3 linked regions of the Sus scrofa genome follow. The protein of the gene in region 1 interacts with the protein of each later gene in a pairwise test. Links are inferred from orthologs where the notes say so. Each region holds a gene or a part of one and is shown in the gene's direction. Other genes may lie near its edges.

Region 1 (3,775 bases):
GAAATGTAAAATGATATAGCCATCAGGAAAATAATTTGGCTGTTTCTTAAAAATCTGAACAGGTACCATCCATATGACTAAATTTCATTCCTGGGTATTTACCCCAGAGAAATGAATACTATGTCCACGTACAAACTTATTCTCAAATGTTCACAGCAGCTTTATTTGCAGTACCCTCTAACTGGAAACCACCCAAATATCCATCACTAGGTGAATTGTTAAACTGTGATAACAGCCACACCTTGTAATAATACTGAGCAATAAAAAAGAATGAAGTACAATTAATGAAATATGACTTGGATGGATATCAAGAACATGATACTGAATGAAAAATGCCAGTGTCTATAAAAGTCATATATTGTATGATTACATTTATATAACCTTCTTCAAATGACAGTTATCTAGATAGAGAACAAATTAGTGATTGCCAGGGATCAGGGATGGTTGAGGGGATAGGTGTGACTGTAAAAGGGGTAGCTGGAGGGAGATCTTTGTGGTGATGAATAGTTGTGTATCTTTATTGTGGTCACACAGTTTTACATGTGGTTGAATGACAACCTTACACACATTGTACCCATGTTGTGTTTGTGGGTTTGATATTGTGCTGTAGGTATATGATGTAACCATTGGGGGGAAACTTGAGTGAAGGAAATGTGGGACCCCTCTGTACTATCTTAATAAAAATAAAAAAGTTCAATAATGTGAATACAGATCTCTATAGGGAGAAACAGAGGGTTTTTTTTTTTTTTTTTTTTTTTCCCAAGTGTTCACATTCTTTGTCCATCCCCATTATTTAGATCTGTGAAAATTTGGGTGTTTTGTAGAACTCTAGGAGATGGGATTTCTTGGCCTTGCTCCTCTATCTCCTATTGTTCCTTCATTGTTTGCTCTGGTTCTCTTTTGACCTGCCTTTTCTTTCTTTCTTTTTTTTTTCCTAGCCTACCTAACATTTTATTTTATTTTATTTTATGTTTTAATTGATATTTCCCCAATACATTTTTTTTTCTACTGAACAGCATGGTGACCCAGTTACACATACATGTACACATTCTATTTTCTCAGATTATCATGCTCCATCATAAGTGACTATAAATAGTTCTCAGCACTACACAGCAGGATCTCATTGCTAATCCATTCCAAAGGCAATAGTTTGCATCTATTAACCCCAAGCTCCCCATCCACCCCACTCCCTCCCACTCCCCCTTGGCAACCACAAGTATGTTCTCCAAGTCCATGATTTTCTTTTCTGTGGAAAGGTTCATTTTTGCCATGTATTAGATTCTAGATATAAGTGATATATGGTATTTGTCTTTATCTTTCGAATTTCCTTCACTCAGTATGAGAGTCTCTAGTTCCATCCATGATGCTGCAAATGGCATTATGTCATTTTTTTTATGGCTGAGTAGTATTCCATTGTGTATATATACCACATTTCCTAATCCAATCATCTGTTGATGGACATTTGGGTTGTTTCCATGTCTTGGCTATTGTGAATAGTGCTGCAATGAACATGTGGGTGCCTGTGTCTTTTTTAAGGCAAGGTTTGTCCAGATATATGCCCAAGAGTGGGATAGCAATAATAGTGGGTTATATGGTAGTTTTATGTATAGATTTCTAAGGTACCTCTATACTGTTCTCCATCGTTGACCTCCCTTTTCTAGCTGTAGTTTTTGTCTCTTGTTTGTCTGGCATTCCAGAGGAATAGAGGTCTGAGTGGGTGAGAACTAGAATTTTCATAACTTTATTTTTAGGCTAGAATAAAAAAATCTAGAGCAAACGTATATTGTCCTTGTTGCTCCTAACAGAAAAAAAAAAAAAAATTTGTTGTAGATATTCTGTTCAAATGCTACGTACTGTGATTCACATTCCCCACCAATTTGGATGGGGTTCCCTTGGCACCCTCCAGACTGGGGAAGACTGCTGATAGGGTGTGGGCTGGGTAAGGAGAGAGAGATTTGGAATACTGAGTTAAACAAGAGAGGGAGAAAGAATTCATTGACCACCCCCAAACAAAACAAAACAAAACCCAATGACCAGTAAGTACTTGAAAAAGCTTTTAAAACATCTATTTTTAAAAATTATGTTTATTTAAAAAATTTTTATATTTTCACTTTAAGGTCTGTACCTGTGGCATATGAATGTTCTCAGACTAGGGGTCTAATCAGAGTTGCAGCTGCTGGCTTATACCACAGCGTGGCAATGCCAGATCCGAGCCACATCTGCAAATTACACTGAAGCTCATGGCAATGCTGGATCCTTAACCCACTGAGCAGGGCCAGGGATCGAACACACACATGTCCTCATGAATTCTAGTCGGGTTCGTTACCACTCGTTACCACCACAACAGGAACTCCTCTGTTTTTTTAAAATTAGCTTTGTGGTAACTTTTTTTTTCTACTTGATCTTATCTGACATATAACATTGTATAATTTTAAGGTGTGCAATTTGTTATTTTGTGTAGTATATTGACTCCTAAAATCACCTTTCTAAAATGGGAAATACAATGTCTGTTTCCTTTACTAAACAAATGTTAATTGCTGCTTAGCTTGGTCCTGGTGGTTGAAGATGTGCATTCTGCTTTCCTGGGGCTTACAGTTTTATATAAAAACTGAAGCAGAATAGAAAGTATAGCAGAGACAGAATTATAATGATGGGGATTTGGAGATGAGAGAAGCTAAGTAGTTAGGGGAAGAGTGTTTAGGAAAAAGCTTTTCTGAGAGCTAGGGTTGTGTTCTTTTTGTCAGATTCCTTGAATTCCATTGCTTTGAACATTGATGACTTATGTCTTGTTTTAAATATACATTTATAATGTGATCCTTATGGCATTGTCAAATTCACTTTATAAGATAAAAACTCAGCCTAAGTTCCTTTACTTGTATTCAGACATTTCAACAAGATTCAGGATTTTAACGACACTTTCTATCGACGTAAGTTTTCCACTTGAAGTTAAATTCTCCCTAAATTCTTACTGTTTTTAGTTGCTGTTTATTTGAAGATTGGTAGCTTTTTTTTTCTTTTTTTGTCTTTTTTAGGGCCACACCCGTGGCATATGGAAGTTCCCAGGCTAGAGGTCAGATTGGAGCTGCAGCTGCCTGCCTAAACCACAGCCACAGCCATGCCAGATCCAAGCCACTTCTGCAGCCTACACAGCAGCTCATGGCAATGTTGGATCCTTAACCCACTGAGCGAGGCCAGGGATCAAGCCCACATCCTCATGGGTACTAGTCGGGTTCGTTATTGCTGAGCCACAATGGGAACTCCTGAAGATTGGTAGCTTTTTGAAGGCTGTTTCTTTCTTTGCCTTCATTTCTTGGTGTTGACTTTTCAGGAGGTTGTCAATTGATCGGAAAGGGAATGCCACTGTTTGAATTTCTAGTTGGCATTGTTAGCCACATATTTGTATTCTGTCTTGAGTAAAGATTACTCAAGGATTAGAAGCTGTGTGTGTATTACAGTGAAAAATGGGTTTGTTTGTTTCTTAGAAATTGAATTATTTTGTGCTGTGATACTTTAAAAAACTAAATTTGTGTTTTTTTCTTGTAGAATTTCATATAATTGTATGTGGACTGGACTCTATCATAGCCAGAAGATGGATAAATGGCATGCTGGTAAAGACTTAGTGTTGTTACGATTCTCTAAGGTTCTTGGTGCTGCTTTTAACAGACTGAAAACGAGACTTTCATGACATATTTTTGAGAAATCACAGTTTAATTTTTAATGATAGACATAGTCCAGTGATTATATTGCCAGTCATTAATTTTCAGGTGAGGACATA
Region 2 (4,527 bases), on another chromosome or scaffold:
CTTTTAAACAGCTTTTCGCCTATGTCTCAAAAACAACTTGATGAAGGTGGAATGTCCACTTTACAGATGTGCACATGAAGACAAGGTGAAGTGTGCCCAGAGGTCCCAGCGGCAGCCGCCTGGAGTGCTGTCTGAGGCCAGAAGCTGCTCCTGGCGTCTCTGGAGGGGAGAAGGAAGTGTGAACAGTCCAGGCCGGGAGTGGACTATTGGAGATGGGGTGCAGAGCTGACCTAGAGTCAGGTGAAGGCGGGCCAGGAGTTCATCTCAGGAAGGTCACCCTGGGGAGTTTCAGGAGCACGGAATTGGAAATAGTGTTCATTTAGTTTACAGACTGTGCCTTGCAGGTAGGACTGTAACAGAATGAAGGTGGCTGGTTACTGAAGTACAGTTTGTCTCCAGGGTCTAAAGTATAGGATCCACAGGCATAGAGTAGCACTAAAGAGTGAGCTGGGGACATGGCACAGGACAAAGGAGTCTCCCCAGAAAAGCCAGGCAGAGCTTGGAGAGTGGCACACCCAGGGGAGCCAAAGGACCTCACATGTTACCCTCTTTCTCAATGGGACCAGCAGGAAAAAGCACATTTTATGGTGGAAACCAAAGAGAAGGAGAAATAATCCTGCAGAGAATGTTTCCTGCAGATGATTCTGCCAGAACAGAGCTTTAAGGGGTGTCCGGGGATGTTCTTTGTTGTGGGACCTGCACAATGCTGGGTGATAAATGTACAGCATTTGTTAGCAATCGCTTGTCTGCCTTAATTCAGCGTCTTAACGTTATTTTGCTTGTTGCTGGGAGTGATCGCTAATGAAAACCTGCTGCAAAGATCAACTCTGAATACATTTGAAGTGAGGCATCCAGGGCACAGTCTTAAGGATTTTCAGAAACCAACTCCCTCTTGGGACAATCATGGAAAATATGAACAAGAAAGATGGAGCGGAGCCTGCCCTCAGCCGCCGCAAACCCACCGTAGGGGCAATTCTCCATCCAGGTTTCCCACTTGCAAGGTGAGGCGACCCAAGGACGAAGCCCTACAGCTCCGCTTAAAGCCTCCGTGTTGTCTGTTTGCCTCTACAAGTTGCTCCGGCGCTCGGTGGTCACAGACGAAAGCTGACGGTGTAAGGAGCGACCCCCGCGGGGTCCTCGCGGTCTCGGACCGCAGGCCGGCTCCACGTGGTCAGCACAGGTTAGAGGGTGCCAGGCAGCTCCTGAGCGCAAGCTCTGGGTCTGGCACTAGCGCCTGCAGCAGTCGGTTCCTGCCCACGCGGGAGCACGAGAGCAGCAGCTGTTCCGGGGGTCTGCTTAGGGAACATTCCTGGCTCATCCATACTCTCCGCGGGGAGCGCGGGCCCGGGGCGCTGCTGCGGCTCCTAGCCCCGCCCTTCTTCCGCCACGCAAGCCCGCGGCTTTCCGCAGGAGGGACCGAGCGCCCTCCAGGGTTCCTGGAGCAGTCGGGGCGGGGCCTGGGGTTGTTGGGGCGGGGCTCATCGCTGGCAGGGCAGGGAGAGCGACGCAGGCGGAAAGGAGCGGGGCACCAGCGGCGCGGGGCGGGGCCGGGCTCGGCGGAGGCGGGGTGAGGGGCGGGGCTGGGCGTCGCTACCCGCTGGGCGCAGCTCCAGGTCGGGTTCCCGCCTGTGCCCCGCCCCCCACAACGGGCCCGCAAGGCTGCGGGCAGGCGCGGCCCAGCCGCTGAGCAGCAGGAGGTGCGAGGCGATCGCGCAGCCTGGCGTCCGGGCGGGGGGCGCCGGCGGGCCCAGAGGCCGCTATGAAGCCAAGCGGCGAGGATAGGGCGGCGAGGGCCGGGGGCCCGTGGGAGGAGTGCTTCGAAGCGGCGGTGCAGCTCGCGCTGCGGGCAGGACAGGTGAGCGCGGCCCGGAGCGCACGGCGGGCGCGCTCGGACTTGGGGCAGAGTGGGCGCGGGGTGTGGGCGGTGGTTCTGAGACCCCGCGGGCCGGCGGGTCCGGCCACGCTGGGCCAGGCGACCGGGACTGCCAACCGCAGAGGGGCTCTGCACCTCTTCCTTACACCTGTGCACCTGCCGCCCCTGCACGGGCTCCCTGGGTCCCGCGGGTCGGAGACGCGGGCCGGGATCTGCGCGCAGAACTGCCGGGGAGGGTCAGGGCGCTGGAACTGCCTTGGAATTGATCCATTGGGCAGAACGTGGTGCGGTTGCCCTAGGTTAGAACTCCGCCGTGTGGAGGTCGAGCGGACGGCCTCTCCTCGCGCATCCGGAGTCTAGAGGGTTCCTCTCGGTATTTGGAGGAACTGCTACCCACACCGGAAGGGTGAAGGTCGAGCAGCGGAGCTGAAGAAACCTTCGTAGAGCAACCCCTCTCCTCTCACTTTAGTGTGTGTTCTGTTCCCTCATTTCCCTGGTGCCCGACACCTGAGGGGTCCTTAGGCCACGTGCGGCGGCGAATAGGGGTTTGGGCTCTCCGGGACTGTCCCGCGCGGGGTGGGGCGGGGGGAGGCCGGGCGGAGAAACGTCCTCCTCCCGCCTCGCGCGCGCGTAAAGGCGCACGGCTTCGTTCTGGCGATCCCAAGAGGGGGTGGACAGGAGTAGGAGGAGCCCTGCCCGCAGAAGGACTTACTGTTCCCAAATGGTAATTTCTTTTCAGTCTGAAAGTTCTGCACAGGTTGAAAACAGGTTGTCACCCGTCCTGCGTTTGAAGTGAGCCCTCACGTGTGCAGTGATGGTGTGGTTCTTGGAGTGACTCCTCTAATCCCCTAAACGTTAACCTTCAACCCTAGTGGACATCTTCTGTGTGGGAGCCCCCCCCCCCCACCGCCTCAGCCCAGAAGGAAAACACTCCTTAAAGGGGCGCTGGGAGGCTTGATCCTTGGGAAAAGGAGGACCTCAACCTTACCTGCTACTTGGATGAAGCTTGTAACTGCAGGACAAGCGTTCTTCCTGGAAAGCAGCGCCACTGGCCGCAGAGCATACTTGCTTCCCCTCCCTGAGCCCCCCACTTCCTCTCCAGAGTAAACGTATCAGGATATTTGGTAACTTTTAAGTTCCACCATAAGCCTTTTCTTCTTTCAGTCTTTGAGAAGCCAGTTTAGGATTCAGACATCACTGTGTAAACCCTTGTGAGTTATGGGTTTCTGTGGTTTTTCAAATTTAGATCCTTGAGGAAACAGAGAGTTTTTGAAACATTTTTTATACAAATTTCCCAACGCTTACATAGACCTTGCAGTGTGGCGGGCACCATTCTAAAGGTCTTAGGAATTTTAACTCAGATAGCTTCTGCTTTTGCAACTTGCTGAGGACAGAAAAGGCTGTTTCTGAGAGTAGGGGAAGGGTACAGTAAGGATTCTGACATCAGGAGTCTGGTCAGGGGGCCCAGGACTCTGGGCTCCCTCTTGGGCAGTATGCTGATGCTGCCTGTCTGCTGGCTGCACAGTGGCCCGGAGAGTGGCCAAATGGTCAGTGGCTGAGACAAACAGAAGCCACAGGTCATCCTAACCTGTGTAAAGAGGGACAGATTGTCTTCACCATGTTCTGGCAGTAATAGGGTGCTGATTGGACAAGACCTGGCCTGGAGGGAGCCAAGGGGCTGATCCTTTGGTGCCTCCCTCAGCCCGGGGGAGGGGGGCGAGGGGGTGGATGCAGGTGCCATAGCCTTGTGGCCAGACACGCCCACCCCTGGTTTCTGCTGTTTTATTGTTTGCTGCTCTCAGCTGCTCCAGAGTCTGGGTTCTGCACACTCAGAGGTACAGGGAGCAGAGGGAGGGCCCTCTGACTTTCAGACTCTGGTTCTGTTAAGGGTGGCCCTAGATGATTTGCTGTCACCTCCCAGCTGCCCCATCCTGAGAGGCCTCCCTGCCCCAAGTGCCGCCCTCTCCAGGAAGGCCTCCATCACCCATTTCTGTGGTGCCTCTGGGAGGCATCACTTCCAGTCCCAGCAACCCACCACTTCAGTAGCCCTTCCCTGGCTCTTGAGCCAGCCCCACCCCATCACCACCACAAATACAAAGAGCAATATTCATCAAAATGGGTATTTATCATCTTTATGTGATGGGTGAACAAACTATCTTAGCAAATTATGCTGTTTAAGTTGCCCTGCGTATGATCCAGGCCTTGTTGAGCCTGAAGTTTAGACAATTTAGGGGCCCTTTTTAAGAAAAAAATACAAAATTACAAATTCAAAATTAGAGGTAAAAATGGTTTATTCAGGATAAGAAAGATCACAACAGTATACATTTTAAGATGCCAACAACTATAAAAAAATACATAAAAATAATTTTTAACTGCTTCTCAATCTTCTGTAATACTTTTTCCACATTTTTTGTCTTCATAGCCTTTGCATCTTTGAATGATAATGATTTTGTCATACTTTCTACAGAGACTAGAAAGATAAATTCAGGCTTTCCTGTAGCATGGCTAATTGAAATTAATTACTGATAGCTTTAAAAAGTTTAGGCTTTCAAACTTGTTGTTGATAGGATCATGTAAATTTTCAGATCACCATCGATTTTAGAATCTCGTCGGTTTTGTTCTGTATATTACTTGTAAGGTGGGGAAGAATTTTC
Region 3 (4,464 bases), on another chromosome or scaffold:
GTATGTTTCCATTGTCCTTGGGTAGATACCTAGGAGCGGAATTGCCATGACCCCTGGCCATTGTACTCCATCCCCTTGGCCAAGGATATGGTGTCTTTCCCCCCCGCCCCCCACAGCAGGCCCAACTACCTTATCCTTCTTCTAGAGGAAGCCTTGCTGACTCCCATAGCTGATTCAGGTCTTCTGATTCACCTTGCCTCGAGTTTTTGCACCTTTCATACTGTATTACGATTGCAGGGGTGGTGGTTTTAGCCCTGTGAGGTGAGCAACTTGAGGGGAGGGACTTTCTGCTTAGGTTCACCACTGTCCGTCCCAGTGCCTGGCTCTTCTGCTCTGGAGCAAGGAGAGGAGAAGGATTCTGGGGGCCATATCAATCAGGAAAGGCTTCCTGGAGGAAGAGGGGCTGCAGCTGGGTCTCAGAACACCTCTGGATGGGTTGGCCTCACAGCTGGGCTGAGGGCTCTGAGGACTTGATGTGGAGGAAAGATTGGGAGAGCTTGGAGAAAAGAGGGATGGATGGGAGGTGGGGGCAGGCAGGCAGAGAACAAAGCTCAGAGCCCTGGGGCTGTTTAACAGCCGCCCTCTAAGGCTGCAAAGTGCCTGTGACTCAGACTTGGAGGGAGGTTCACTGGCTGCAGCTGTGAGCCTCCCAGTTAACCCTCACCTGCCTGACGGAAATCCCACAACCCAAGCACTGCGCGTTAATGCCCAGCTGCCCAGTCCGGGAGCCAAGGGCTTTGGACGTGGCCCTGAGATCTCAGAGACAGCTCTGTCCCCCACAATCTGGTTAAATGAGGCTCCGCTGTCTGAGGCACTGGATTGGGTAGAGGGACTGAGGGAGCGGGCATATAAAAACGGAGTGGCCTGCAGCACGGGAGCCCAGCGACAGGCGAATTTCTGAAGAATTGCTCCCTTGTCTAGGGCAAAGAAGGCCGCCGCAGAAGGGCGGACTCGGCGCCAGGGTCACAAAGGGCCCGCCTAATTGCCCTCCGCTATAGGCACTGTTCGAACTGTCTTATCAGCTCTGTCCCAGAAATACGTATGTGTCATCTTCCCAGTCGCAGCGGCAATAAGAAAACGCCGACCTCTTTTACTACTGGGGGGAGAGGGGGAGGGAGCAAACAGCGGTCCTAGTGCTGCCAGTATAGCCCAGAACCAGACCCTCGAGGGCGCAGCATCGAGCCCGACAGCCCTTGGAGTCGGGGCTGCAGGCGGCGTCCTAGGGCCCCGCAGGCCGGGGCTGAGCCCACCCCTCGCATCCCGCGTCGGCGGCCCTGAGAGCCGGGTGCAGGCTACTCGGAGGCGCCGGCGGCTCGGGCGAGGCCAGCCTGGGAAGAGTGAGAACTAGCGGCGTACCGATCCGCGAAGTCCTAGCCTGGAACGTTCGGACCCTCGGATTCCAGCCTCGAATACTCGGGGCCCCGAGGCTCTGATCGCTCAGAGTCCCGAGGCGCGCCAGCGGCGGGCTCCAAGCCGCGGGCGGCGGGCGGGACAGCGCCCCCGCTCCGCCCGTGGGAGAGCTCGCCCCTCCAGGAAGCGCCCGCCCCGCCTCCCACTTCCCTCCCCACGCCCCCCCCTCCCTCGGCCGAGGGAGGAGCCCGAGCTGCCGCCGCCGCCCGCCCGGCGGGCCGGGGAGGAGGACCGGACCGCGAGCGGCTGGGAGCGCACGCGAGCTGGCCACCGCTGCGCGGGCAGCGCCTTGAGCCCGTCCCGCGCCCGTGGGCCCGGCGGAGCAGGGGAGCACCCGAGGATGCCCTGGTGGCCCGGAGCACGGGGAGCGGCAGCCACGCGGTGAGGGCGGCAGCGCCCGCGGAACCCGCGGTGAGTGGGGCCCCGGCGGGCAAGGGGCGGGCGGGGCGCCCTGGCGCGAGGGCTCAAGTTCGGCCTTGGGGCTCGGCTTCTGGCGCCAGCGGCTGCTTGGAAGGAAGTTAGGTGCCGCCTCCCGGGTGGCACAGCCCAAAGCCCCCAGCCATCCGCGCGCCCCGACCCCAGCGTTTGGATGACTCAGCTGCGACCCGGCCACGCGGGGGCGCTCCGGCTTCGCCCCGACCGTGGGGTAACCGAGGGCATAGTGCCTGGAGGATGGTGGCGCCCTCGGGGGCGAGGCGCGGGGGTGGGGGGGCTCCGAGCCCAATGGTTTAGGGACCCTCCTACCTCCCCCGAGGAACTGGGGGCGTCAGGAAGGTGGAGGCCCGCCACCTTCGCAGCTTCGGAAGTCCTGAGGTCGGGCTGGCCCCGCTTCTCGCCCTCTCGCCTCGCTCCCTACCCGGGCATCCCCGGTGCCGCAGGGAACTGCTCCAGAGCCCGCTCCCAGCTCGCGAAGGGGGAATAGGAGAGGAAGTGGAGCTGGGCAGCTTCCCAGAAGTCGGAGTGTGTTTGCAAACTAGTTTTTTTCCCTGCAAAAACTGTCTGGCACCTGTGTGTTTGGGGCGGGGGAGGGGGGAACGTGGAGAAAGAGCAGAGCCCTTTCTTCCTTCCCAGTCCCTGTTCCCCCGAAGCGCTGCTTCTCTGTAAATAGAAGATTCTTACTTTCCTCTTCGCATCCCATCCCCCAGCCTTGTCGAACCACCCCCTTTGGGGAAGGGGCTCCTTCACAGGGGGCTGTGATTTGCCCAAGGTCACAGGTGGAACTGGAACCCGGAGCTTTGGTAGCCAGTTAGAGGTTCTTGCTGTCTGCGACCCCGCCAGCCCTGTTATGTACTGGAGGAAGTGACAAGGGCAAAGGATCTGGGAGAAATATCCAAGTGGCCCTTTGTCCGCCTTTAGTTTTTGCTTCCCTAGGACTGTGGACTGTTAACTGAGGGAGGTAGGGCTTTTTCTGTTTCATGGGGGCACCCACAGCTTCAGTAATTGGAGAGAGGAACCAGGTTGTAACCTTCCAGCAGCTGCAGCCTGCTTGTGGTCAGCCCTGATGGGGAGATGTGGGACACCTGGGTTCAAACACCTCCTACCCAGGCCCAGACCCTCCTCCTCCCTGAGCCTCCAGGTCCTTGTCTGTAAAATGGGCTAACAGTCCAGGGCCTGTGCATGCAGAGGCCGGTGCCAACATAAAGGAGTGGTTTTATTGCATTCTTTCTGGCAGGGGGCCCAGTGAGTCCTGGGACTGCCCCAGGCATGTGACAAAGCTGGCCAGAGTGGGAGGGGTCACCCGGGTAGTTGTCTCCATGGAAAGAACCAGGGACTAAGAACGTGGACACTTGGGCCCTCCTGGTCTGCTGCCACATCCTATTTGCCTGCCTCGTCAGTCGTAGGGCTTGAGGGCTTTTCCACTGGTAAAATGAAGCAAAGTATGACACAATCGCGTTTACAGAGCTGCTAGGGGGCTAGAACCGGTACAGGGGACAGGTGTCCTGCAAAGTTAGGTGCACGGGTGGTCAAGGGATCGCCCTCCCAGAGGCCATTCTTATTAAAAATTCAGGGGCAGAGTAGCTGTGGTGCAGTGGGTTAAGAATCCAGTTGCAGCAGCTCAGGTTGCTGCAGAGGTATGGGTTCAATCCCCGGCCCAGCGCAGGGGGTTAAAGATCTGGCATTGCCACAGCTGCAGGGTAGGTCACAGCTGCAGCTCGGATTCTGTCACTGGCCCCAGGAACTTCCATATACTTCAGGTGCAGCCATAAAAAAACAAACCAAAAAAAAACCTCAGGCGTAAAGAGAGGGTCAGGGATAGAGCCTTTGTTGCCGTACCTGGAAAGTAGTGAGAACAATACTCTACCCCCTTGTGATCTTTTAGGGTAGCTGTGTCTTTCCTTAAAGGTAGTTGTGAGGGTTAAATTACATGACACGGGCTCGTGGGCCTGCCCTGTGACTGGTGTGTGAGAAGCACTCAGCATTAACCGCTTAGCATTATTTATGGGAATATTAGGAAGCCCGAAGTGGGTTACTGATTTAGGATTCCTTTTGGGATTTTTCTCAGGCCAGCTCACTCCTCTCTCTCCCGCCTCCTTCCTGGAGAGGGGAGCCTCGGAATCCACAGGTCAGATTTCTGGGTTGTCGCAGGGACAGGACCCTGACGAGCAAGGTGCCACTAGGCTGAAGGTCGATGGTGGATCCACCGGGGTGTTCCTGTTGCCCCTCGTGGGGCTCTGAGGACGATGGACAACAGAGGAGCCATTCTCTACAAATTCCCTCTGGGGCATGGTCTCCAGGCCAAGTCCCCTACTGAGAAGCCCTCAGCCAGGGCCAGGGTCCCATCTGCCTGATGGAGCTCTCCCTCGTCTCCCTCCGCTCACCCAGCAGGGACGGTCACTTCTGGAGTGCGGACCCCTGCAGGGCACAGGGTGGGCTCCTTGGGAGCCAGGAGGCCGGGTCACCCTAGGGTCTTGGCAGGCAGCACCTGGAGAAGGCAGTGATCACCGCCCCCTTCCCAACATCCAGAAGGAGCATGTGGAGTCCCAAGGGGATTCATGACTTCCTGAGGTCCCACAGGCTCTGGGGACTGTGAGAGAGTCCAGGCGCCTCCTGGCT

Evidence for each region. The genes of interacting proteins can lie anywhere in the genome.
Region 2: the proteins of UBA3 (region 1) and IMPA2 interact in binary tests that used the Homo sapiens proteins (3 or more experiments, as listed by UniProt). The two-hybrid records come from large-scale screens. The link is inferred for Sus scrofa from reciprocal best matches to the Homo sapiens genes UBA3 and IMPA2.
Region 3: the proteins of UBA3 (region 1) and CPNE2 interact in binary tests that used the Homo sapiens proteins (3 or more experiments, as listed by UniProt). The two-hybrid records come from large-scale screens. The link is inferred for Sus scrofa from reciprocal best matches to the Homo sapiens genes UBA3 and CPNE2.

What each region holds. Positions count from the first base shown.
Region 1 is NC_010455.5:50,487,840-50,491,614, reverse strand, and holds part of UBA3 (NEDD8-activating enzyme E1 catalytic subunit), read left to right. Parts: intron 1-2,883; coding exon 2,884-2,927; intron 2,928-3,543; coding exon 3,544-3,608; intron 3,609-3,775. UniProt on the Homo sapiens protein: Catalytic subunit of the dimeric UBA3-NAE1 E1 enzyme. E1 activates NEDD8 by first adenylating its C-terminal glycine residue with ATP, thereafter linking this residue to the side chain of the catalytic cysteine, yielding a NEDD8-UBA3 thioester and free AMP.
Region 2 is NC_010448.4:97,306,856-97,311,382, reverse strand, and holds the start of IMPA2 (inositol monophosphatase 2), read left to right. Parts: upstream 1-1,653; 5' UTR 1,654-1,759; coding exon 1,760-1,855; intron 1,856-4,527. UniProt on the Homo sapiens protein: Phosphatase that can use myo-inositol monophosphates, myo-inositol 1,4-diphosphate, scyllo-inositol-1,4-diphosphate, glucose-1-phosphate, beta-glycerophosphate and 2'-AMP as substrates in vitro.
Region 3 is NC_010448.4:19,045,205-19,049,668, forward strand, and holds the start of CPNE2 (copine-2), read left to right. Parts: upstream 1-1,590; 5' UTR 1,591-1,821; intron 1,822-4,464.